Linked DNA regions of Diceros bicornis minor. The protein of the gene in region 3 interacts with the protein of the main gene of each other region in a biochemical or structural test. Links are inferred from orthologs where the notes say so. Each region holds a gene or a part of one and is shown on either strand. Other genes may lie near its edges. The genes, in order: CNPY2, LDLR and MYLIP.

The links.
Region 1: the proteins of MYLIP (region 3) and CNPY2 form a complex in vitro, tested with the Homo sapiens proteins (2 studies listed by BioGRID). The link is inferred for Diceros bicornis minor from reciprocal best matches to the Homo sapiens genes MYLIP and CNPY2.
Region 2: of the proteins of MYLIP (region 3) and LDLR, one has a biochemical effect on the other in vitro, tested with the Homo sapiens proteins (4 studies listed by BioGRID, with this or other methods). The link is inferred for Diceros bicornis minor from reciprocal best matches to the Homo sapiens genes MYLIP and LDLR.

Annotation. Positions count from the first base shown.
Region 1 is NC_080756.1:12,477,827-12,485,787, reverse strand, and holds the start of CNPY2 (protein canopy homolog 2), read right to left. Parts: upstream 3,039-7,961; 5' UTR 2,563-3,038; intron 2,336-2,562; exon of another isoform or gene 2,333-2,335; 5' UTR 2,271-2,332; exon of another isoform or gene 2,070-2,270; intron 1,976-2,069; 5' UTR 1,951-1,975; coding exon 1,863-1,950; intron 1,712-1,862; coding exon 1,596-1,711; intron 718-1,595; coding exon 514-717; intron 358-513; coding exon 261-357; intron 92-260; coding exon of another isoform or gene 63-91; exon of another isoform or gene 56-62; intron 1-55. Other genes in the region: PAN2-PAN3 deadenylation complex catalytic subunit PAN2, read right to left, coding at 4,119-4,153, 4,506-4,703, 4,974-5,067, 5,194-5,373, 5,506-5,649, 5,748-5,905, 6,523-6,613, 7,098-7,157 and 2 more. UniProt on the Homo sapiens protein: Positive regulator of neurite outgrowth by stabilizing myosin regulatory light chain (MRLC). It prevents MIR-mediated MRLC ubiquitination and its subsequent proteasomal degradation.
Region 2 is NC_080769.1:8,291,886-8,299,550, forward strand, and holds the start of LDLR (low-density lipoprotein receptor), read right to left. Parts: upstream 3,086-7,665; 5' UTR 2,978-3,085; coding exon 2,911-2,977; intron 1-2,910.
Region 3 is NC_080753.1:51,016,966-51,024,176, forward strand, and holds the start of MYLIP (E3 ubiquitin-protein ligase MYLIP), read right to left. Parts: upstream 3,042-7,211; 5' UTR 2,893-3,041; coding exon 2,806-2,892; intron 1,691-2,805; coding exon 1,500-1,690; intron 1-1,499. UniProt on the Homo sapiens protein: E3 ubiquitin-protein ligase that mediates ubiquitination and subsequent proteasomal degradation of myosin regulatory light chain (MRLC), LDLR, VLDLR and LRP8. Activity depends on E2 enzymes of the UBE2D family.

The DNA.
Region 1 (7,961 bases), on a different chromosome or scaffold from region 3:
CCATTTTCCAGAGCATATGCTTTCAAATGACAAAACATTCCCACTATCCTCTCACCTGTATCTCAGGTGAGGGAGCCAGAAATTCTGAAAGCTGGCAGGAAGAGAACGGGGAGGAACAACCCAAGTCCATAAGCCATGGGTAATGGAAGCCAACTTGTGAGCTAATATCAGAAGATTGGGCGGTCGTTGGGGGATACACTAGGGAATGTGCCAGGTTCCACAGGGCTGTGAGGAAAGGAGGTAAGGCAGGAGTAGTTTACCTGTTCGCTTACTACAAAGTTTGTCTTTAACATTGTCAGCCTCTCGGGAAAAGAATTCAATGAGTTCATCCTCGTATTCCTCCACAATGCTCTCACACTGTCAACCAAAGAAGAAACGAGTGAGAGGGCAGCAAGAAGAGGCCTCCTGCCTCTGCCTCCAGAGGAGGACAAAGACATTAACCCAGCTTTCCCCTTGGGCTCTCCAATAATTCTCGTAATTTCCAAGAACCAGCCACCCACTCCCATAGCTCACCGCAAACTTGAGGGTGCCGCTGATGTCTGAATCAATTCGGATGCCCTGTAGGTCCAGTTCGCTGGATTCTCCATTCCGGCCCATTACACGTACATAGTTCTTGCGGTGGGTGGAAGGATCAATCTGTTCCCCATACTCCTTCATCCGGTCACATACCTCCTCTAGCAGCTCTGTGAGGTGGGCCTCTGAGCGAGCATAAGGCACCTAGAAATGTCCTCAGCCTTGGGTCACACTCTTCTACCTCTGAACATTAGTAATTTATATCCTTACTTTTCCTTCCAAATCTAGCTCTACCGACCTATTCTAAAAAGCCTTCCCTAATTAAAAACAGTATGGTTTATTTGTATAGTTCCAAAGTGCTTTCAAATATATGATCTTATTTTACCTCATTATACAAGCTAAGAAATAAAAGAGGTGTCTTTCCCTCCAAATTGTAGGTAAACAAAGACCTCTTTGATTAACCCTAGTCAACTGTGTTCTTTTCCTTTGAATTCCCTTAATTTTTATGGATGTAAGGTAATGATTTTATTTCCTTGTATTACAATGAGACTAATACCTGCCCTCAACAGGAGAGCATCAGAGAGGAAGTGTAGGCTTTGAGGATAGCAACTGTTAAAGTATTTCACAAGCATCATAACCTTAACGTTTCTTTATATATTGCTCACTTGGGGGGTGGGGGAACATCTGAGTACCTGTGTTATGTTTGCAACTAAAATAAATTTCCTAAATACAAGGGTAAGCTGATCTATTTCTTTTTTGAATGAATGTTCATATGTGTACCTTACTGTCATAGTGAAAAGCTGAGTCACATGGATTAAGGATGTGGAGAAGGGGGCTGATCAGGGTTCTCTGTCTGCTGACAACTTCTACAGCAGAAATAAAGCATTAAGGTTTGGAGCCATGGAGCAAGTGCATAGGGTATAAGCCATAAGCCTCTTCCCAATGAGACAGCCCAATCTTTTAGACACCTCTCTGGGTCAATATTTTCTTAATTTCTATTAAACCAAGGTCCTTCTTAATTAGTTGAGTTCTCATTCAATGTCAGAGTGGGCTACTTTATTTGGGGGAACAGTAACAGTTACCTCCACCACTGACTGGCTGCCATCTGGATTGATTCGGAAAGAGCCCATCTGAATGGTCTTCTTGGGATCCACCTGGGCAATCTCCCACTCGAGTTCATCCACCAGAGCCCTGCAAGCTGGGCAAGGGGAGAGAAGGGCGGGTGGGGAGAGACAGGAAACAAAGCCAGGGAATTTCCATTCATCCTTCTACTAGGCCTTGGATCTCATGCCCTCCCAAGGTTCTGTCTTCCCCATCCTCCTTACTCCCACTTCTCTCTGTGCCTTTACCTCCACAGTGTAGATCCTGGCTCCTCCGAGCCCAAGCAGTTCCCAGCAGGGCCCCCAGAAGCAGGGCCAGCCAACCCCAGCCTTTCATCTTTAGCGTAATGGGGTTGCTCCACCTGGGTTTGGATTGAAATAAAGCATAGGTGTGGGGAGCTGGCTCCATCCTCCCCACGCCGCCTCCCCCAACCCATCCGTCATCCCAAGGCCTACAGAGGCCGCAGTGTGACTCTGGCTCTACTTTCCAGGAAATGGCCGGGACACAAAGGAGCTCCTCTGTTCCGGCGCTTGAGGACCCGGATTCCCCCGGGCGGTGGGAAAGAGAACGAGTTGGGGACTTGGGGCTTAGCCCGACACTACGTCGACAGGTGAGGCCCTAGATGTTGGTACTTCACCGTCGGCTGCTAAACTCACAGGGCGATGTGGCAGCCACGGAACGGGGTGGCGACTAAGCGAGGACGACAGGCACAGAGGAGCTGCTGGCAAGGAGAGCAGCCGATTCAGGCCAGGAGGCAGCGAGGAGGCCGGCCGGCGAGGACAGCACTCAACACTAGGGTCTGTTTGGACCCAGCACGGAAGATCACTGCATCCCCACCTCCAGCCTAGACGCTATTTCTCGTGAGGAGCAAGCACCTTTCTAAGGACCCCGCCACTGCCTTCGCTCCAGTCCGTCCCCGACCCTCAGCGCCACTCGCATCCGTCCCACCTCTGCTCCCAGGGCCGCCGCCGTGGCCCAGGCGCTGGAAGACGGCCGGACTCGCACTTTTAGCACCCGACCCTAGCACCTGGCTGCCGGGAGCGGGGCTGTCCCGGCTTCTCCAGAGCGCTCCGGCGCTGTCCAGACACGGGGTGCCCCGGCGACCGCCTAACCCAGCTCCTCGCACCCTACGCGGGCGCCCAAGCAGAGCTCCGATGCCCTGCGGTGCGAGCCCCACGCCAGAGACCGACCCCAAACCCGCCCCTCCAAACTCTCGCGCGAACAGGCAGCTACAGGAGCGGCTCCCAGGCGGCGAGGACCCGGGTGGATCGCAGAAGGACCCAGACTTGCGTGGCGAGCAGCTCCACGTGACCACCAGGGGTCAGCCAAAGAACAGGAGTGGCCTGAAGCAAGGACAGAGCCCGGTGTGGTGTATGGAGGCGGTCGGGCGAGCGCGCGTCAGTCTAGGTGGGCTAGGACCTTCAAAAAGAAAGGAGCGCTGCTCGCCAGTGAGAAATCCTGGTTTCAATACCCAGGAAACTACAACTCCCAGGAAGCAGCGCAGCACCACACAGATCCTTGGTTAATAGCTACAGGTCTTAAGATATCCTGGGACCTGTAGTTTGTCAGCTTCCCCACCTCCCCTTTTACACAGGTAACGGGGAAACCATACTGTACATCTTAAAATCTCACCTTAGGGTTCTAGGCAGCCACAGCAAATACGTAATATTATCCAGGAAGAACATAATTATACTACTCCAATATCCTTAACTTTGGACTCCTGAGCTTTACCTTCATTTCTAGGTGGAAATTTGAAAGCCTTGTTTTTTTCCATTTGCAATAGAGAGCCAATAGAAAGAGAGGAGAGGAGGGCCAAAGTCAGAGAACCCCACACTCGCAGGTCTCAAATGAGAGATGACAGCCAATAATATTTTTGTTTTTATTTTATAAAACATGCAGTTTAAAACAAAATTTTAAAAAACAAAACTTGGGACAGGAGAGTGGATGGAAGACAGATGCTTCTCAGCTGTCAGCAGGAGTGAAGCCAGCAGCCAAGCTTTGTCTAGGACCCAAAGGCCCTTTTGGCAATGATGGTGTTGGCAACACTGGTTTGCTAGAGCCACCAAGATTGTATATGTTGGCCCCTCCAGGCACCCTGCAAGCAGTCAGAGACTTGAGCTAAGTCTTGAGCTCCTGTTGTATCCTGTCACTGTCCAGAACGTCAGTCCTTAGCCAACTAGGAACTGACAGTTTTGGTTCCAGGAGTTTCTCTGCTTGGATATTAATTACCCAGGATATTAAGAATACCAATTACTTGCCATCTGTGTCAATTCTAGACTGTTTCTAGCCCATTATTTTGCAAAGATTAAAAAAGGAATCTGGCTCCTAGACCCTATGCAACAATTGTGCCACATTCCACTTCTATTAATAGCACCATCTGTAGACCCCAAGTAGGTCCAATTCTAGAAGTGGACAGGGTGCAGCCAACTTGGGAAGCCATGTCCCAGTTCTGGGGCCACAGAACACTGAAAGGAGAGGCAGCAGTTCGTTGGGAGAGGGTGAGGTCAGAGCGCCAGTACTGAGGAGAAGACAGCTGCACCTGTCAGAGACAAAACCAAGAGCATTGACTCTTAAGATGAGTGGAGAAAAAGCACCTGGGATACTTCTTATGAAGGAAAAATGCAAGCGAAAAGAGAACACAGACCTACCCCAAATGTTTTAGAATTGGGCAAGAGGAAATTAGGACCAATGGAGAGTTTCAATAATAAAATCTATTTCACTGAATGTTGGGAGGATTAAATGCTTTGTAAACTGTTAAATGCTCTACATATATAAGGTAGGGATGGTACCGCTGTTAACATCATCATCATCATTGTTATTTTGGAGGGTATAATCTTCACATGTGCAATCAAAACCCAGTCTGGTTTCCCTTGTCCCATCCCAGGCCTTACTTTTGGGACTTGTCTGGCCCTCAGGTTCAGGCACCTTCCAGTCCATCTTTCGGCCCTTCTCGTAAAGACCCTTGAGCACTTTGTGGAAGGACTCAGGTTCAGTGCCATTTTTGCTTAGCTCCAGATACTTTCGGTAGAGCTGAAGGGCTGTGCGGGCATCCTCAATACTGTCATGGGTCTCCCCTTGAATCTTCAGGTCTGGGGGAAGTAGAGGTAGAATAGTTTGGGACCTAGCAAAGGGAGGTCAGAACATTCTCAACTCCCAATAAACAACAATAAAAAACCTGACTGCCCTTAAGGGAAAGAGCCAAACACCATCCCTAGTGCACAGAAGGGATACTGAAACTAATTAAATCCATCAGTAATCTCACCACTAACTCAGGGTCCTCCCTACTCCCCTTGGCCCCTCCAACACTTTTTCCTGCTTTTAATGAGTACCACGAGGCCCTACAAGACAGAGCAACTCACCTAGAAAGTACCAAGCAAGGAATCGCAGGGAAATCATTCGTTTTCGGGGCATGTGAAACAAATAGACAGTGTCAAGGACCTGGTCCTTGGGCACCTGGCAGGGATAAAAGAGTGGGAAACTGAAGGTAGAGGATCCATAATTTCCCCTTTTCCAAAAGCACAATGTATACCCTGAGAGGCCCATGCTCAAAGAAGACTCTTAAAAGAGCCCCGCCCGAACCATGAGGTTGATGACCCGGAAGTCCTTCTGCAGACCATGACCCACAAACTTGACTCCAATGTCTATAAGAAAACGAAGCTTTAAGTAGGTAGACTTGAGAGTTGTGAGGTGCTTAGAGGAAATCTTGGCATCGAGGTCTCCTGGCTTTATCCCGGAGTATTGAGTCAAGTAATCTACCACCTAGGGATAGAGAAAAGGACAAGTCGTCCAGGAAGCAAGGTGCAGAGTCTCCCCCTACCACTCTTCCCTGGGTTCTAGAGCACTCTACATAAGCAGAGGGTCTGTCTTACTTGCACCTCCATATCCTACTACCTGCTCCTGGGTAGAGATGTAGTCATCAATGAAGGGGATACCCTCATTGGGTCCCTGGCCCCGAACACAGGTAATCCTCGCTACTGACATCTGGCTTGGTTTGATGGTAGACTTAGTGCCATCACTGCGCAACTCTGCTTCCTCCTACATGAGAAGAGTTAATAAGGAAATCAGAGAAATGCTTATGACTCCTAATATCCCCAGAGTTCTGTTCCAATACCCTACCCTTTGATCTTGGTTACCTCATTAAGGGTGACAAACTCAGCGTCCAGGCCCACCAGGTCTCCAACCTGTGGCATCTCATTCACCATCAGCGGAATGAAAGTAGTATGTGTTTTCCGCTGCTTCCGTGCTAGTGAGGCTTCAGCTAGCAGGACACTTGCCTCAATAGGGTTCTTGACTGGAAGGGAGAATCCAGAAGACAGATGGCTGGGGATATGGAAGTGACCAGAGGAGGGCAGCCCATGGTGGCTGACCAGAGACTGGGTCGACACTGTGATTCTTCAATAATTAAAGCATGTGAGTAAAAAGATCATGTCTAATGAACAGAGTAGGTAGATGGAACAGGTCAAATCAGAAAATTATCAAGAAATATGCTAGGAAAAAACAAGAGTCAACAGAGAGAAAAGAATAAGATTTTCACTTCAGACTTTAGCTTAGAAAATCCAGAAAAATAAAGTTACACAGAAACTATGGTTTAAAGGCACCAAAAAGGGACTTAATAAGGAGCTCATCTCCAAAAGAAAAAGAGATCCTCACTTGGGGATAAGAATGGCAAGACTCAAAATTCATACCCTTAGCCACTATGATTAGACTTCCCCCCAACACTTCTTCCCTACTACACCCTCAGGATCTCCAGCTTCTAAATTTCAGGCCTGATGAGCAGGAATCTCTTTAGTATCCCTGGAAATATTAACACTGGTTACTGATCCTAATCATAACAAGCTATTTCCCAGATCTGTTCCTGAAGACCAGTCTCAGCTGCCCATGCCCTTGGGTCTACTCTGTACCACTTACTGTTCAGGTTGTATTTGGAATTAAGATTCCTTTTGATGTAATAAAGGATAGCAGGCACTTTCCAATTCATGTCAAACTGCACAGCTTCATGCTATAAAAGAAAAAGCACTTAATGGCCTACCTATATGTCTCTTCTGCCTTTTTTTTTTGTGTGTGTGTGAGGAAGACCGGCTCTGAGCTAACATCTATTGCCAATCTTCCTCCTTTTTTTTTTCCCCCCAAAGCCCCAGTAGATAGTTGTATGTCATAGTTGCACATCCTTCTAGTTGCTGTATGTGGGTCCCGGCCTCAGCATGGCCGGAGAAGCAGTGCGTCAGTGCGCGCCTGGGATCCGAACCCGGGCCGCCAGTAGCGGAGCATGCACACTTAACCGCTAAGCCACAGAGCCGGCCCCTCTTTTGCGTTTTTCCCCAAGTCAGACAGAAGACAGGCACTATTTTTAGCTCCGCTAATGCTTTTTATTCTTGAGGACCCATCCCTCCCTCCTGAATCTGCCTGGCATTCTCTAGGGGACTGAGGATGAGGATGCTCGGAAAAGGGGAGATGAAAGGAGAATGGAATGTGTTACAACTAACCTTATCAATAGGTTCAATAAGAAAGTCATTGAAGAGATACCACTGCTGGTGGGTAACACCCTGTGGAGATACAGAGAAAGACTGATGCCAAAGTGATGGCTGGACCACTCTGGCTCAGACTCGAGATAAAGACGGATCTGGGACTCCATCATGGCCACCACCAGGAGAGTCCCTGCCCTATATTACCTCACTCACCTCCTTGCGCTGGTGGTAGGTCTCTCCAACTTTGATGTGAGCCACCAGGCTGCCCCCTGTGCGTGAGTCCAGGATGTGTACCACAGTAGCCATCAGGTCATACACATAGACACCATGCTCCTCCTCTGCCCTGGCTGGGCCCCACTGTGAGGGGGGTACCCAGGCTGCTAAGCTAAGTTTAAGGATGGGGAAGGAAGGGGAATGGGGACAGAGGATAAGGAGTTTGGGGCATGGGGACGGGGGACCAGGGTGGGTTATCTCCATCCTAACCCATCTATGACTCGCAACACTGAACTGAATGACTCTGGAAAAGCCCACAACTGGTAAATACTAGGCCTTATTCCTTTTCTTTTCCCTATACTAAGCTCCACCTTCCCCCTGTCATGCTTCTGCCCCAACCTTCTCTCCCTTATTCCCCTTCCTTTTCCCAGTTTTTCAACAACCTGCATCTCATCCCCATCAGTCCAATTGCAAACATCCAGCCCTTTGTTCTTGGTCATCTTCATGCGAATGGAGAAAGGAAGCCAGACATTCTTCAACTCCTCAATGGAGGGACACATCAGCATGCCCTCTGGACTCCCTAGTTCCTTCCTATCAGGACAGGAGAATCGGAAATTTGTTCTGAGGAGATCTAGCCAGTGACAAGAGGAGCCAATGGGTAGTTCAATC
Region 2 (7,665 bases), on a different chromosome or scaffold from region 3:
CATGCCTTGCTGGCGGGGACGGGGATCAGGAACAGGGAGCACCGAGTGACAACACATCAGACGAGTGTGCCCACAGCAGGCAACACCGTCCTGAGCAAGCGGACAGAACTAGCCCTGTTTCAACACCACAGCCCCAGGAAACTGGACATTGTTATTTCCTCCCCATTGCAGAAGCAAGGTTTGGCTTTGCCATGTCAGTTTCATTTGAATTTCAGCAAAAGCAAACTGGAACAGGGCTCCCATATCTCCTCATCCTGAGGATGCCTAAAATTACCTAAGCAGTGCATGCCCCCCCCCAAAAAAACCCTCTAAACTGTAGCCCTTAGATCTCTCTTGCCACGGGTGACAGATCACGAACAAGGTTATCGAAACAGAAAAGGAGAATACACATTTCTGCTTTTTCGTCAGCACACAAATGAGGTGGTAAATGCTGTCGATGTTTTCTTTCCCATGCTACTGAAGATACTCGCTGTACAGGGAAATCGAATGGTAGGTGGAATGTTTCCTTGCAAAAAGAAACGGCTGGCGTTACCAGACTCAGCTGAAAATGATGAGAAATCAATTTACCAGCGCTTTTTTCCAAACTAGGTGACGTCAAGGTATTTTCCCCAGGAGTGGTCTCGAATGGTAGATTTTGCTGCCAGCTCCTTTGGGGAGGGGTAGCCTGTTTCTGTCACTGTTCACGGCTGTTACTTCCACAGTGTCTTAGCAACAAACGGTCACTTGCTTGACAGCCAGGCAAAGTGGGGATGCTATTAATGTACTTAATGTGTAATGTGAAGAACAACAAAGGCATCTAGAATTAGATCTTATCAGGGGAGGAACCCCACAGATCTGAGCAGAACTAACTAGAATAAGGCACGTAATGCTCCTTGAAGATTTGCAGTCTCAAAAAAGTTCTCCCTGTCTTTGGCCAATGTTGTCCTGGAACAAAGTACACTCTGTAATGACCAGTGAATCCCCTGGGGCATGTTGCCAAAGCAGACACAGCTCTTAGCAGCAGGCTCTCCTTTCTCTGAGTTTGGGTGTGCCCTTGGCACACTCGATACCCCACGCACAACATTAACTGCTTTTGATCTGGCTAAGTGAAGGCACACAGTTCAGCGCCCAGCTACTTCTATTGCCAAAGGAAACGGACATGAAATCCTTTTCCCGCAAATGCTTTGAAGACAGCTAAGGAGCAAGCCGGAGCAGCCAGGGCTGCGACAAATACACAACAGGGTTTTCACCCCAGTGGAGAGACGTAGATGCCAGCTCTCCGCGGTCTGGGGAGCACATCAGAACTGAAAGCCTCCTTGAGAACCGAAGATCCATCAGATCCTCAGCCACCCAGTGAGAGAGGAAACTAAAGTAAGCCACTCATCTTGCTCAAGACTTCGCTGCCATTATTGTCTCTTAGGGAAGGAGTCCAACAGTGTGAAATACAGGTTAACCCAGTGTCTCTTGAGCAAGCCTCTCTCCTCCGGCTTCACACACCTGGGTGGCCGAATTCTTACAATAATCTGCTCTGTGGGGCTGCCACCTCCCTTCCTCCCCTCCCAGCGGAAGCGGATGTGTCACAGGGTCGGATTCCGAATTCAAAGCCACCTCCCTGCCAATGAAAAAGGCTTCCTGCCATTCTGTTGAGCAGCCAATGCCCGGCTGGGCTGGCTCTGAGCAGGAAAAGGACCATTTATCTATTTTCCAGGGCGAGGTCACATGCCTCTGGCAGCTCACTTACAGCCACCGGATTACTCAGGATCGCGCACCAACTCGCCTCTTGCCCGAACCTCAATCTGAATCTCCCTAAAATGAAAAGTCCTCAGGACCCGCTGGGAGCCTCTGAACAAACAACGCAACCCTGAGGCGTCTGTCCGGTGTCGCTGTCGCCCCCCAGCTGACGGTCTCCGCCAAGTGCCCTTCGCGTCCGACCGAGGAGGGGCGAGTGTTTCCGAAGCAACATTCCGCCTCGGAAGGAACCGGGGCCCTGAGGGTGGCCTGGGGACACCTCCGTGAACTTGACCCGGGCGGGCAGGGCGAGGGCGGCCCCGAGGACTAAATGGCGACGAAGGCCTTGTGACAGATCCGGGAGGAAACCGGGGGCACCCGGGCGCTCGGCGGGCGCCTCATCCACGCTCGCGGAGGCGACACCAGGGGCCCGGGACGTGTCGCCCTGTTGTGGCAGGAGCCCGGGACGGACGCGAGGCATCGCCGTCGTCGCCTCACCGAGAACGAGGTGTGGAGCGAGCCCTGCGCCAGCCCCGCCCCACTCGTGCGCAAGCCCCGCCCACGCCGCGCGCGCCTCCGCAGTCGCCGCCTCCCATTGGCCAAGGGGAGTGGCTCGAGGCTCGCCTGTTCGAATCGCGCCCAATAGGAGCCAGGGGGCGGGGCCGCGGGCTGGGGGCGGGGCTGGGGCGGCGGCTTTGGGCAGAAGCGCGCATGAGGGGCGAGGGGAGGATGCGCGGCGACCGGCTCCGGGAGCCGGCGGCGCCCTTGAGCGGCACAAAGCCCGCTTGGCCGCAGCGGTGACCCCTGCCCGTGGACGCGCGCGGGGGAGCGCCCGCAGGGACCTCCAGGCTGAGCAGCCGGGCTTCGGGTCACCCTCGCCCCTAGAATGGCTCTAGAAGGGGGTCCCTCCTTCCCCAGAGCTGGAGATGCCGGTACCCCCGCTCTGAGGAAGACAAGGGAGAAACCCGGGGGGGAAGCCACACCCCGATTCCCCTGACTGCTCCAGATCCCCCCAAGCCCCGCGCCCCCCTCCGCGCTCCCCCACGCGGCTTCGCCCTTGGCGAAGGACTTCGTGCCATTTTCCCACAAGCCTCCCAAAGATGGAGTTATTTTTCGCTCTACCCCCCAAAAAAATTACCAAAGGGCTCCCCGAGTTCGGGAGGCTCATCCGCACCCCGCGCGGGCGCCTGGAGCCAGCCTTACCTGCAGCCCCCGCCGCGGCGAGCAGCAGGGCGATGGCCCAGCGCAGCCCCCAGCCCGCGAGTCTCATGGTCCCAGCCTCCGCCAGCAGCGCCCCGGCCCCGGCCCCTGTCAGCTGTGTCGGCCCTGGAAACCCGGGCTTCGCGCGGCCCGGCAGCGACTGCACGCGGGGCCCCAGTCATTTGCGGCATTTCAATGTGAGGTTTCTCGCGGGGGAGGAGTTTGCAGTGGGGTGATTTTCAAATATCTTCGCCTCACTGCCGGAGGAGGAGTTTGGAGAGGAGGAGTTTCGAACGGCTGATGTTACATGGGCTTCTTAACCCCTGAAACCCTGACTTGCATTCCAGCCCTTTCCAAAGCCTCTCCAGGGCAGGCCGCTTGATTTGTCATTGGTTTGGTAGCCCGGAAGAGCTGAGCCCCCCCCCAAATTGGAGATGAGCCTCCTGAAAGATGTCTCTTTAATTTGTCTTAACTTTTAATTGCCACATTTCCCTTTGGTACCCAAAGAAGATTGTTGATAACCATCTGTCCTTCCAAATGGTCTAATTGGTTAACGACATCTCCCCTCTGCCTCGAAAGGAAAAAGTACAAATCTTGGAAAATGTCTCCCTCTCCTTTCTCTACCAGCTTTTTCCTTTCTAGGAATTGCAGATAGATTTTAACTGAGTTTAGTTGTACATAGTTTTTAGGTGGTTCTTCCAAATCGCCATATAAACTAATCAACGAGGCATTTAAGAAAAATCTTCAAAAGTACAGCCAAAAACTGATTTTGTTTCTTGGGATCCAGGCTTGACATATGAGCCAAAATATTTTTAAAGTTAAGTGACCTGATACCTGGAGTCTGGACGTAAATATTGATGTATTCTTTTAGGAGAAGGAGTTGCATAAACAGAAGGGCAGCTTCCTCTCCCCAAAGTAAAATTCAAACAAAACGAGGGCTTTCAGAGTTGAACTTGACTGCCTGAGCCCCGGAGGGCTGATGGAGAGCAGCTTTCAAGAATCAGAGAGTCTAGTTTTTTTTTTTTTTTTTGCTGAGGAAGATTGGCCCTGAGCTAACATCTGTGCCCATCTTCCTCTATTTTATATGGGATGCCGCAACAGCATGGCTTGATGAGCACTGTGTAGGTCTGTTCCCGGGATCCAAACCTGCGAACCCCGGGCCGCCACAGTGGAGCGCACGAACTTAACCACTACGCCACCAAGCCAGCCCCTAGAGAGTCTGTTTTGGGATTCATGAGGTTGCCTGCCAGAGCCCCCTTGCCAAAAGAGCACATGTGGGGATCTTGTCTGAACCCCACAAAAAGTCTGGCAGACTTGGAGGGTTCCCCCAGGAATTTCTCTGGGGTCTTACAAACTGGGGAATTGGACAGACCTAGGGCAGTCAGTCAGCCTTCAGAGAAGATAAGCCTGCTTCCCTTACTTGGCAGGTTCAGTGTCAGGGTCAGAGGACATAGTTAGCAACCACCTGGAGAAATTTACAAGGATGGGCAAGTTCTCCGAGTTGTTACGACATTTACAAATGTGTCACCATCGCATTCCATTCCTTATACCGAACGCCACATTTTTTTTCTTTTTATGTCTGTAAGAGCACTGGGTTTGATTGCCCTTCAGAAAAATTACAAGACCTGGCAAGCTCGGTTTCTGTTGTGAGCTCAACTTTCTGTATCTGGTGGTGGGAGGCCTTTTCTCCCCAACGGGCCTGGAAAGGGTTAACGGGAAGAGGTTTTCTTCCAGGAAGGAACTTAGTTTAGCATGTTTCCAGAGCTAGTTCAACACTGATGTAAGGGCAGACCTGGAAAAGGGCCACAAAAGGCCTGGAAAGAACATTCCTCGGGTGCCAAGGCCTGAGCCCAAGCAAGGTCTCCAGGACAGCTCTCCCCATCTCCGCCTTGAACCTTCCTTTGGAAATCTCAAGGCCCCTTCTGTCCCTGCCACGAATGGACCTGGTCACGTGTTGCTCTGAGAATGGGGGTCACGCTGTGTAATTTCTCTAGTCTGCTTCTTGGAGCCTCCATTTCCTCTTCCGTAACTAGCTCACAGGGTTGTCGTGAGGATTAAGTAAATTAATATATATACAGTCATCCCTCGGCGATGTGGTGGGTTCCCTTCCAGACCACAGCAACAAAATGCATATCGCAATAAAGCGAGTCACACAAATTTTGTGGTTTCTTGGTGCATACAGAAGTTATGTTTACGCTATCCTGTAGTCTAAGTGTGCAATAGTATTATGTCTAAAGAAATAATGTACATACCTTAATTAAAAAATACTTTATTGCTAAAAAATGCTAAACATCACCAGAGCCTTCAGCGAGTAGTAATCTTTCTGCTGGTGGAGGGTCTTGTAAAAAACGCATTATCTGTGAAAAGCAATAAAATGAGGGCTGTCTGTATATAGTGATTAGAACCGTGCTTGGCACATAAGCACCAAATATGGAGTTTGCTTTTGTTTTTTTTTTTTTTGGCTGTGTTCGTGTTGCAACTGCATCTATTTTTTTTTTTTTTCTTCCCTCAAGGAAGACCTTCTGCCTCAGAGGCACTTAAAAATAATCCTTCCATGGAAGCCACTTCATTTGGAAGATCCTGGGCTGGCAAAGTCATCTGCGACAACCCAGGGTAAGCGTTTTCCTCATTCTAATAGACAGCCCACCTGTCGTGGGTTTTGGCTCATTAGTTCACCAGAAGGCTCAGACCAGAGTAGGTCTTCAGCCAAAGGAGTCCGGCCTTTTGGCAGAGGGGAGCCATGGCAGCTGCAGTCTGGCCTGTGGGCCAGCAGGCAGCAGAGAGAGTGAATAACTGCGTGAGCCATGGTGCCTTCCAGTAGGTTCCATTAGGGACCTGCCTTGACCCCGTCCCCATCAATCATCTCCATAAAACCCCCATAAGCCACGTGAGGGCAGAGTCCATGGCTTGTACCTCCCCTGCCTGCCTGCAGTAAAGGTAAAATGAGTAAATGAAAAGAAAGAAATTCTTGTTGGAGTGGCTGCAACAACAGCAGAGATGCACCCTTCCTGAGTTCTACTTGCATTGGGATTTTGATGATTAGGAACTCAAATTTTGTCCTGGGCTGCCAGTCCTTCCTTTCAGACAGAACACCAGACTCGAAAGCAAACCTGTACTGGGGACACAGAGAAAGCCTTGAGTCGGTGGTCGGGGGAGACTCAAAACTGACCAAGGTACGACCTTGTGCTCCAGGACTCCAGGAGAGAGAACAGGGCAGGATCTTCTATAAACAATGGGCCCATGCAGTGCCTGAGAATTCAGAGGCTGCATTTAGTGTGAGAAGTGGAAAGGTACTCGAGAAAAAGTATATTTTCGTTTAGTATGAAGAGTCGAAACATTCCCGTGGTTCAAAAGTAAAAAGCCTTGATGAGGAACAAGGCAAGGATGCCCACTTTCATCACTTCTATTCAATTGGAAGTTCTAGACAGTGTAATTAGGCAAGAAAAAGAAATAAAAGGCATCCAAGTTGGAAAGGAAGAAATAGAAAAGAAGTTTTATATGTAGAAAACCCTAAAGAGTCCACATACACACAAAAAACTGTTGGAACTAATAAGCGAATTCAGCAACATTGCAGGATATAAAATCAAGACACAAAAAACAGTTGCATTTCGTACACTAGCAAAGAACAATCCTGAAAAGAAGTTAAGAAAACAATTCCATTTACAATAGCAACAAAAAGAGTAAAATACTTAGAAATAAATTTAACCAAGAAGGTGAAAGGCTTGTACACTGAAAACTAAAAAATGTTGCTGAAAGAAATTAAAGACACAAATAAATAGGTTTTATTTCTGTTCATGGCTTAATATTGTTAAGATGTCAATACTACCCAAAGCAATCTACAGATTCAATGCAATCTCTATCAAAATCTCAATGATGTTTTTTATTGGCAGAAAAAGAAAAATCCACGCTACAATTCATATGGATTCTCACGAGACCCTGAATAACCAAAATAATCTTAAAAAGACCAAAGTTGGAGGTCTCATACTTCGTGATTTCAAAACTTACAACAGAGCTACGGTAATCAAAACATTGTGGTGTTGGCATAAAGAAAGACATATAAACCAAAGGAACAGAATAGAGAACCCAGAAATAAGCCCTCGCATATACGGTCAAATGATTTTTGCAGGGGTGCCCAGGCCATTCAATGGGGAATGCACAGTCATTACAACAAATGGTGGTGGGAGAACTGGTTATCCACATGCAAAAGAATGAAGTTGGATCCCTACCTCACACCATTTAGAAAAATTAACTCAAACTGGATCAAAGACTTGAAAGTAAGAGCTAAAACTATAAAACTCTTAGAGGAAAACATAGGGTTTTAAAGCTTCATGACATTGGATTTGGCAATGATTTCTTGCTTATGACACCAAAAGGATAGGCAATAAAAGAAAAAATAGATTTAGTTGGACTTCATCAAAATTGAAAACAATTGTGCATCAAATGACCCTATCAACAGAGTGAAAAGGTGACACATAGGATGGGACAAAATATTTGCACATCCTGTATCTGATAAGGGATTAATACCTAGAATATATAAAGAACCCCTACAACTCAACAACAAAAACAAACAGCTCAATTAAAAAATAGCAAAAGACTTCAATACACATTTCTCCAAAGAAGATATAAAAAATGGCCAATAAGGGCATGAAATGATGTTCAACATCACTAATCATTAGGGAAATGCAAATCAAAACGACGAGAGGCCACTTCGCACTCATTAGGATGGCCATTATAAAAATAAAAAAACCCAAAACAGAA
Region 3 (7,211 bases):
ATACAAATGTATTATACTATGATGACTGCAGCCATTGTTTAAATGATGTATTTGGTCCTCCATGCTTCTGCAGATTTAAAAAATAAATTTGTGTCATCAAAATAAATTTGTATCTGGAAGCCCTGAAATGACTGCAAATTATGATAAAACTACACAGTGACGATTCCACTATATTGTGTAATATACATTTTTTCTCTTACTCAACTGCAAGTTATCACACTGAAATGCAAAGTGAAAACTTTCACAAATCAGCTTTAAGTAAAAAAAACCAAAAAACCCCCCAGCCTTTTCTGATTAATATAGACAGCTAAAACATCTTTAAACATGCAGTCACTTGAATATCCTGCAAGACATTTTCCAGAGCACTAAGAATTCAATTCAACACACCAACTTTCTTCAGAAACAAAATCGAACATTTCCCTCACCCTTTAAAGCTCCATAACTAGGCAGAGATTTCAAATTCAAATGAATAGTATTTCAAAATATGTTTCTAACAGTCCTTTGGCAAACAAACAAAAAATGACATGTTAAAAACTCTCCAAGGATACTGCTCACTCATCACTACTCAAAATTTTCACACTCACATTTTTCATGTGCGTGGCAAATTTCCAAGCCAAACAATTATGAAAAACATTAGAATTTAGATTCAAAGTTTGCTGTGTTTAAAAGTAGTTGTTTTCCTTTACTTTGACATGCCACTGTAAGACTCAGGTCTCTTGCATTTCAGCAATAAATATTAAAAACCAGTTTCCCAGTTTGGCTCATCCTTGAGAAAAGTATTACAGCCAGTCCAGGGGAGAAAAGATTTTCTGTCTGAAAAAAGGAAACCACATACTCCAGTTTGTCCACCACTACTGGTGGTTTTCTAGAAGTAAGGAGGTAATTTCAATCATCTGAACTCAACAATCATGTGTAACATATCTGTGGGTTGGCGTTCAGTTACACTGGCCTGAAAAAGAATTTAGCGAGTTTTCAAGAAACTTAAAAAACTTTTAAAATTCTGCATTAAGTCAGACAGAACTCTTCGCTACATACTGTAATCTGACACTAGGCTGAAGCAGTTGACCAAGTTTGAGTAACCCAAGAGGAACAGTTTCCTGCTGTTAGAACAGTGCACAATGACCGAGAGTAACACTGCTGAGGCAGAGGTTACTATCGGGCATTAGACGCTGCAATCAGGAAGTCAGTTGGGTCTGTCTGTTTTTTTTTTTGCCTTGTGGCACTATCTCAAGCATTTGTAAGGATTCAACTCTGCTCTCCTATTGTTTATAAAGACAAGAAAAACCACATGAAGGGTTAGAAAACGTACCCCAGGCCAACTATGCAGCACCCTTTTCACCTCAACAAAAGGGCTGTGCCATGGAAAACTTCTAAGTTATGAACCAGCTCACTCTCTATCAAAAAAAATTTGCCTGTGAACATCTCTGGAAGGTGCAATGGCCCTTTCTAAATGGAATCCAAGGTCTATTTGACACTGGTTTATTTTCACGTCAGTTTACCTAGTCTGCTCCTGTAAGATGAGATGAGGCTCCACGAAGAACTTGACTCGAAGTTTAAGGCGGTAAGGGGCTAGCCCATCCATCTGCTGCGAGATCCGGTTTCTCAGATTTAGCCATAAACTTTCACCTTTGCTCCCCGTAAATTGCAGTCCAAAATAATCAACTTCTATAATTCCCAAACGCCTGCACACCTAAAACACAAATGAATGCAGCATGCATGAGCAAATGGTCCGTGTTGTCAAAGCAAACTCAAGGACTAGACCCGAGTCTGATTCCTACCTACTTTTTACAAAGTTCAACGGTGTTACAATTCCTGTTGTAAGCTGGAAGAACAAAGTTCTAAGGCCCCAGGGATGCTAAACCATGAGATGCAGTATAAAGCCTTGTGCTTCCTTTAATACCCAGGACATGCCGATAGCAGTAGAGAAAAAGGACTCCTCAAAAGTAGTCTTCCAGAAAGGCTGAGGAGGGGAATCACAGGGTATTTTCCCTCTTATTCCAATCACCGGAATTCCCTCCACCAGCACAATCTGCACAGCTGATTTGGCAGCTTATTATCTGGACAATTTTTAACCATCTGGACTCCAAAAAAAACAAACACATTGAGGAAACATGCCACAAGTGTCAGCTAAGCTTTACAAGAGGTTTTCCAAACATTGCAGGTCTAGGGCGTTGGAGGGCACAGCGTTTCACTTGAGACCCAATTTGCTGCCTGCCACACCAATATGCACTGTTTGGAACTGTTCTTTACTCTTAAGGAAACGCGTGCTTAAAGACAACCGAAGTGTAGGATCATCCAAACCTTCGATCCTCTCGTCACCCGCAAATCGGGAGATGCAGGTGAATGGTCCAGTTGAGCAGCAGCAAGAGACAAGGGCCCGGGTGTCTGGCAAGCAATCCCAGGGACCTGCGACAGCCTCCAGCCACCTCATCCCGGGACGCAGGTGGCGCTGCCAGGCCCCGCGGGGACCCGACAGGCGGTATCACGCACACACCTGCGGCAGGTGTGCGGAGTCGCCTTTTTCCGGGAAAGTGCCGAGCTGGGGGGCAGGGTGGCAGGCCCGCCGGGCGCATCCTTCCCACTCCCGCCACGCGCTCCCGCCGCGCCGGGATGGGGGCCGCGCGCCCCACGCCCGCGGGGAGGAGGGGGCGCGGGCCGGGCGCCTGGGGCGCGCTACCCCCGGGTCGCCGCTGCAGCGCCACCCGGCCCCTCGCAAGCGGCGCGCCTTGGCGCCCGGCACCGCCGCGAGGCCCCTCGGCCTCCGGGAAGCGGCCGGGCCCCCCCCGCCTGGCTCCTCGTCCTCACCTGGTTGAGGCAGTCCTCGCCGTTGGCTTTCGCCTCCACCTCCACCTCCATCAGCACCGCGTCCGGCCTCGTCACATAGCACAGCATGGCTGGGGCCGCCGCTGCCACCACAGCCGCCTCCTCTTTGGTGTGCGCGGGGCTGCCGCCTCGCCACCGCTCAGACCCAGCCCCGGGCTCGGCGAGGCTGGCCCTCGGGAGGCTGCAGCCCTGCAGACCCCGGCCCTGCGCCCCGCGGCCGCCGCGCCCTCCCCGCTACCCCCTCGCCAGTCCGCCCGCCGGCTCTCCAGCTCTCCGCGGCGGCGCCGCACTCCGACAACCCGACTGCCTGCGCCGCGACAGGACTCCTCGGATATAGCGGCCCCGCCCCCTTCGGCTGCGGCCCCCGCCAATCACGGCCGCCTAGTCCCGCCTCCGCCGCCCCGGCAGCCAATAGCAGCGCCCGCTCGGCCGCGGCCGGACCTCCCAGCGCCGGCTGAGTGCCCCGGGCCGTCCGGGGAGGTGGCAGCTTGCGGGCACCGAGTGCCGCGGGAGGAGGGAGGCGCCGGCACGCAGCCGCTGCCTCTGCCCGCTGGGCGACGCTGCGCGGAGCCAGCGACCGCCTGCGGCTCCCAGGCGGGGACGCCTTTCTGTCGGGCTTGAATTTACAACGATTAAACGCCTCCAAGCTGCCGCTGTTCTTCAGAAGCCTTGGGTCGCTCCAGAAGCGCCTTTCGGGAGGTGAAAGCAAAAAGGAAAGGGACCAAAGTCTAAGGAAAAGTATTTTCCCCTGGGGTTTGCCACGGTGGGTTGTTGGGAGGCGGAGCGGTTGTTCCTCATTTTAGATCTCGTCATTGAAAAAACAAAATCTGAGTATAAAAGTTTTTGCAGTTGACCAGTAAGCCAGGGAGCTGGATCTAGTTCTTCTATATGAATTCTCTCTAGAGGCTTCTATTTACCCGTTGTGCTGAATCAAAACACCTTATAGGGCACTAAGGCCCTCTCAGGTCGCCATCCTATCTCATGTCTTATCTCATTCATTCGTTAAACATTAATTGAGCACCTGCTGTACTGCGGGTCCCTTCCCTCAGGCACCCGGATGTTATCCTCATCTTAAAGGTAAGGGACTCATCTCAGGAACTAACAGGTGGTGTAACCTCAGTAGTGGCTATTAATAATTACAGATCTACAACTCTTCACTCGTTTAGTACTTGTTCCTCTTTGCCAATACATTACTTAGCCTACCTCTTTGGTTTCTTTATAGCAGCAGTGAGAAGATGTGGGTTTCAGCCTTGGACCTTTAGAAAACTTCTCTCTGAAGCTCCGTGTTCTCCACAGTAAAATGGAGACCACAGTATCTGCTCTGCCTTCCCCACAGCATTGCTGTGAGGAGCAGCAGAGATAATGTTCATAAAAGCATTCGAACGACCCTCTGTATGTCAGGAGATCTATAATGTCAGCTCTGTCACTGCCTGCTGATGACTTCTGTCCTTACCCCCCTTCCTGAGTCCCAATTATCTCTGTCCCAGTGGCCTGTATTTCTGAAGGAGTAGGAAGGATATCAGAGCAGAAGGCTACAGGGAAGGATCCTACCATAGTCTTTAAAGCCAACTATGGGTAAAACTGTAAATAGTCTAAGTCCTTACCTGCAATGTTGCAGACAGACATATGCACTCTCACATCTTTCTTTGTGTCTTATGAGTACACCGATATTGTGCTGCTGAAGTATTCTCATCTTAGATCAGCTCTTGTTCCTCATTCCCTTAATTCCAGTTTGCTGACCCAGGAAACTTATCCAGGAGATAACATTTGGATCATGGATATCTAATCTATGCTTAATCACTAGAAATTTTACAACTGGGAGAAGAGGTGAGGGCCAAGATGGAGGCTGGGTGTCTTGGTTAATATTTTTGCTTATGAGCCACTAGGCTGACTAACCCAAAGCCAGGTAAACAAAAGTTGGCTAAGGTAAGCAAAAGGGAATTGAGTGCACAAATTTTGGGAGCTCACAGAATCAGTGGGAACTAGGCGTGAAAATGAATAGAAAGGGAGAAACACTGGTTGGCCAAAAAACAAAAATAAAAACCCAATAAAAACAAAACAAGCAAAAACCAAAACCAAATACTCATTTTGTGAAGAAACTACTTTAAAAATAACTTTGGGGCTGGCCTGGTGGCATAGCGGTTAAGTTCGCACGTTCTGCTTCAGTGGCCCAGGGTTTGCAGGTTCAGATCCTGGGCGTGGACCTACTCACCGCTCATCAAGCCGTGCTGAGGCAGCGTCCCATGCAGAGCAACTAGAAGGACCAACAACTAGGATATACAACTATGTACTGGGGCTTTGAGGAGAAAAAAAGAAAAAGAGGAAGACTGGCAATGGACGTTAGCTCAGGGCCAATCTTCCTCAAAAAAAAAAATAATAACCTATGTTTTTGGTTTTGGTGGGGATATTTCTAATCCAAATACACAAGTTATGATCCTATGTTTGTAAGGAGATCTATAATGTCGGCTCTGTCACTGCCTGCCAATGACTTCTGTCCTTACCCCTTTTCCTGAGTCCCAATTATCTCTGTCCCAGTGGCTAACCTGTACATAACCCAGATTATGCTCCTGCTAGGAGATGGTTGGTAATTCCAATTGTTTTTGAAATTAAGATTCACCCGATAAGACTAAAGAGGAGAAGGATTTCCTAAAACAAAAGAAAACAAAGCTAAAAACAGGAAAACAGCGCTTGGGGAGGGGGGAGAAATCCTAATGACTGAAAAGAAAAAGAATACTGTCTTCTACTAACATATACAGGAAATAAGAGACCATCATCTCTCTCTTTCCCTCTCTCTTTCTTTCTCTGTTTCTTTCCTAATTTCTCCCTTGAGTAGAGATAGCGAGAGACTGGTTAGTTAAGGAGTGAGAAGCCTCAGTTAGCTGGTGACTGGCTAAGAAAGCACATTATGTCCAAAGACCTAGTTAGAGAAGAGAAAGCCCACAGTAGAATTCCTTTCTAGAGGATCCCACCATCTGGTAATGCTACTAAAAGTCTGGAGCCAGTTTCAAGCCCCAGCTGGGTCTAACTCCAAAATAAGAGACTCTGAACACCCTGGCCTGGGGGTGGTAACTGTATTAGATCGAGCTGTGACTGAAGCAGTTCTGCATTAGCCAGAGAGGTGCGGCATTTTATCTGTGTCTCTTTTCTTTTGCTCTCAATTAGCTATTACCTTCGAAAGCTAGCATTAAAATTAACCAGCAAAGTAAAAACATCAGCTGCATGAAGGTAGATTTTTAAAATAGAAACCATAACTAAATGACAGAGTCCGCTAAGGCAGTGGAGTCCTGGCTGTTCAAACACACCCAAACACCAAGTTTTTCTCTCTGTCTCATATACTAGGGTTCATGACTGAGCACTAGATAATATTCATAGGACGTGATGGGATGGTTGTCTGGCTGCAAAATTTTTCTTGTGGTTGAGCACTAGGTCTGATCTGGCTGGCTGGATATCTATTCTTGTTCCTTCCTTTCTCCACACTGTACACACTGCTGCAGAAACCCTGTGCTGCGTTAAAGGAAAGGCCCATCTTCTCTTTCCCTCTCAACCTTCATTTGTAGGAGGGTGGAGGGAAGAACAATTAGTGACTGCCTCACAAACTATCCATTTGCTTTCACACATTGTTCAAGCTAATTATTCACATAAGCAATGCTTCATCGAACCCAAGTGTGTTAAAATGTGTCAAGTGAGCTGAAATCTCTCGTTTGAAATATTGGACTTGTGAAATTCAGGAGAAGTTTAATTTGATCCTAGCCTACCATCAAAGCAGAGCATCTCATTTCCAAAACTGGCTGTTTAAAGAGTAAAAGAGGGAATGAGGAAAGAATAGCCAACGCCTGTATTACAAATTCTGGAACATATAAAATGGCATCATCTTAATTAGCAGGCAGTTTAAATGATTTTTTTCTAGTTGTGACAGTAGTTCATATTCATGGTTGACTACTTGGAAAAGATTGAAAAGTACGAGGGAAAAATAAAGTACTTATAATTTTATCAGGCATTTCCAGTTGGTATTGATGTTTTACTTTTGTACTGTGCATGTGATGTGCTCTAAATTTTGATTGTGATATAATCAAATACTGCACATGAACTTCTGGAGACATTTCAAGAGAGCAAGTGACACTTGGGGTAGGGAGTTCCAAATCTAAACCCAGTGTTATGAATATTAGGAAAATTATAAACAGAAAGAACAACCTCCACAAAAAAATTTCCAGCTATTACTGTTTCTCAGCTGTCTTTTTTCTTTTCTGAAATACTACCCTTTCCTCTGTTTGTTTTTCTTCTCACTACTAGAATGCCCTGAAATGTCACGTTTTCTGATACGCTTACTTCTGTGGCACGATCATTTAGTTGAGAGATGCTCAGAGCTGGGAAATCATTTCCAACTTGGC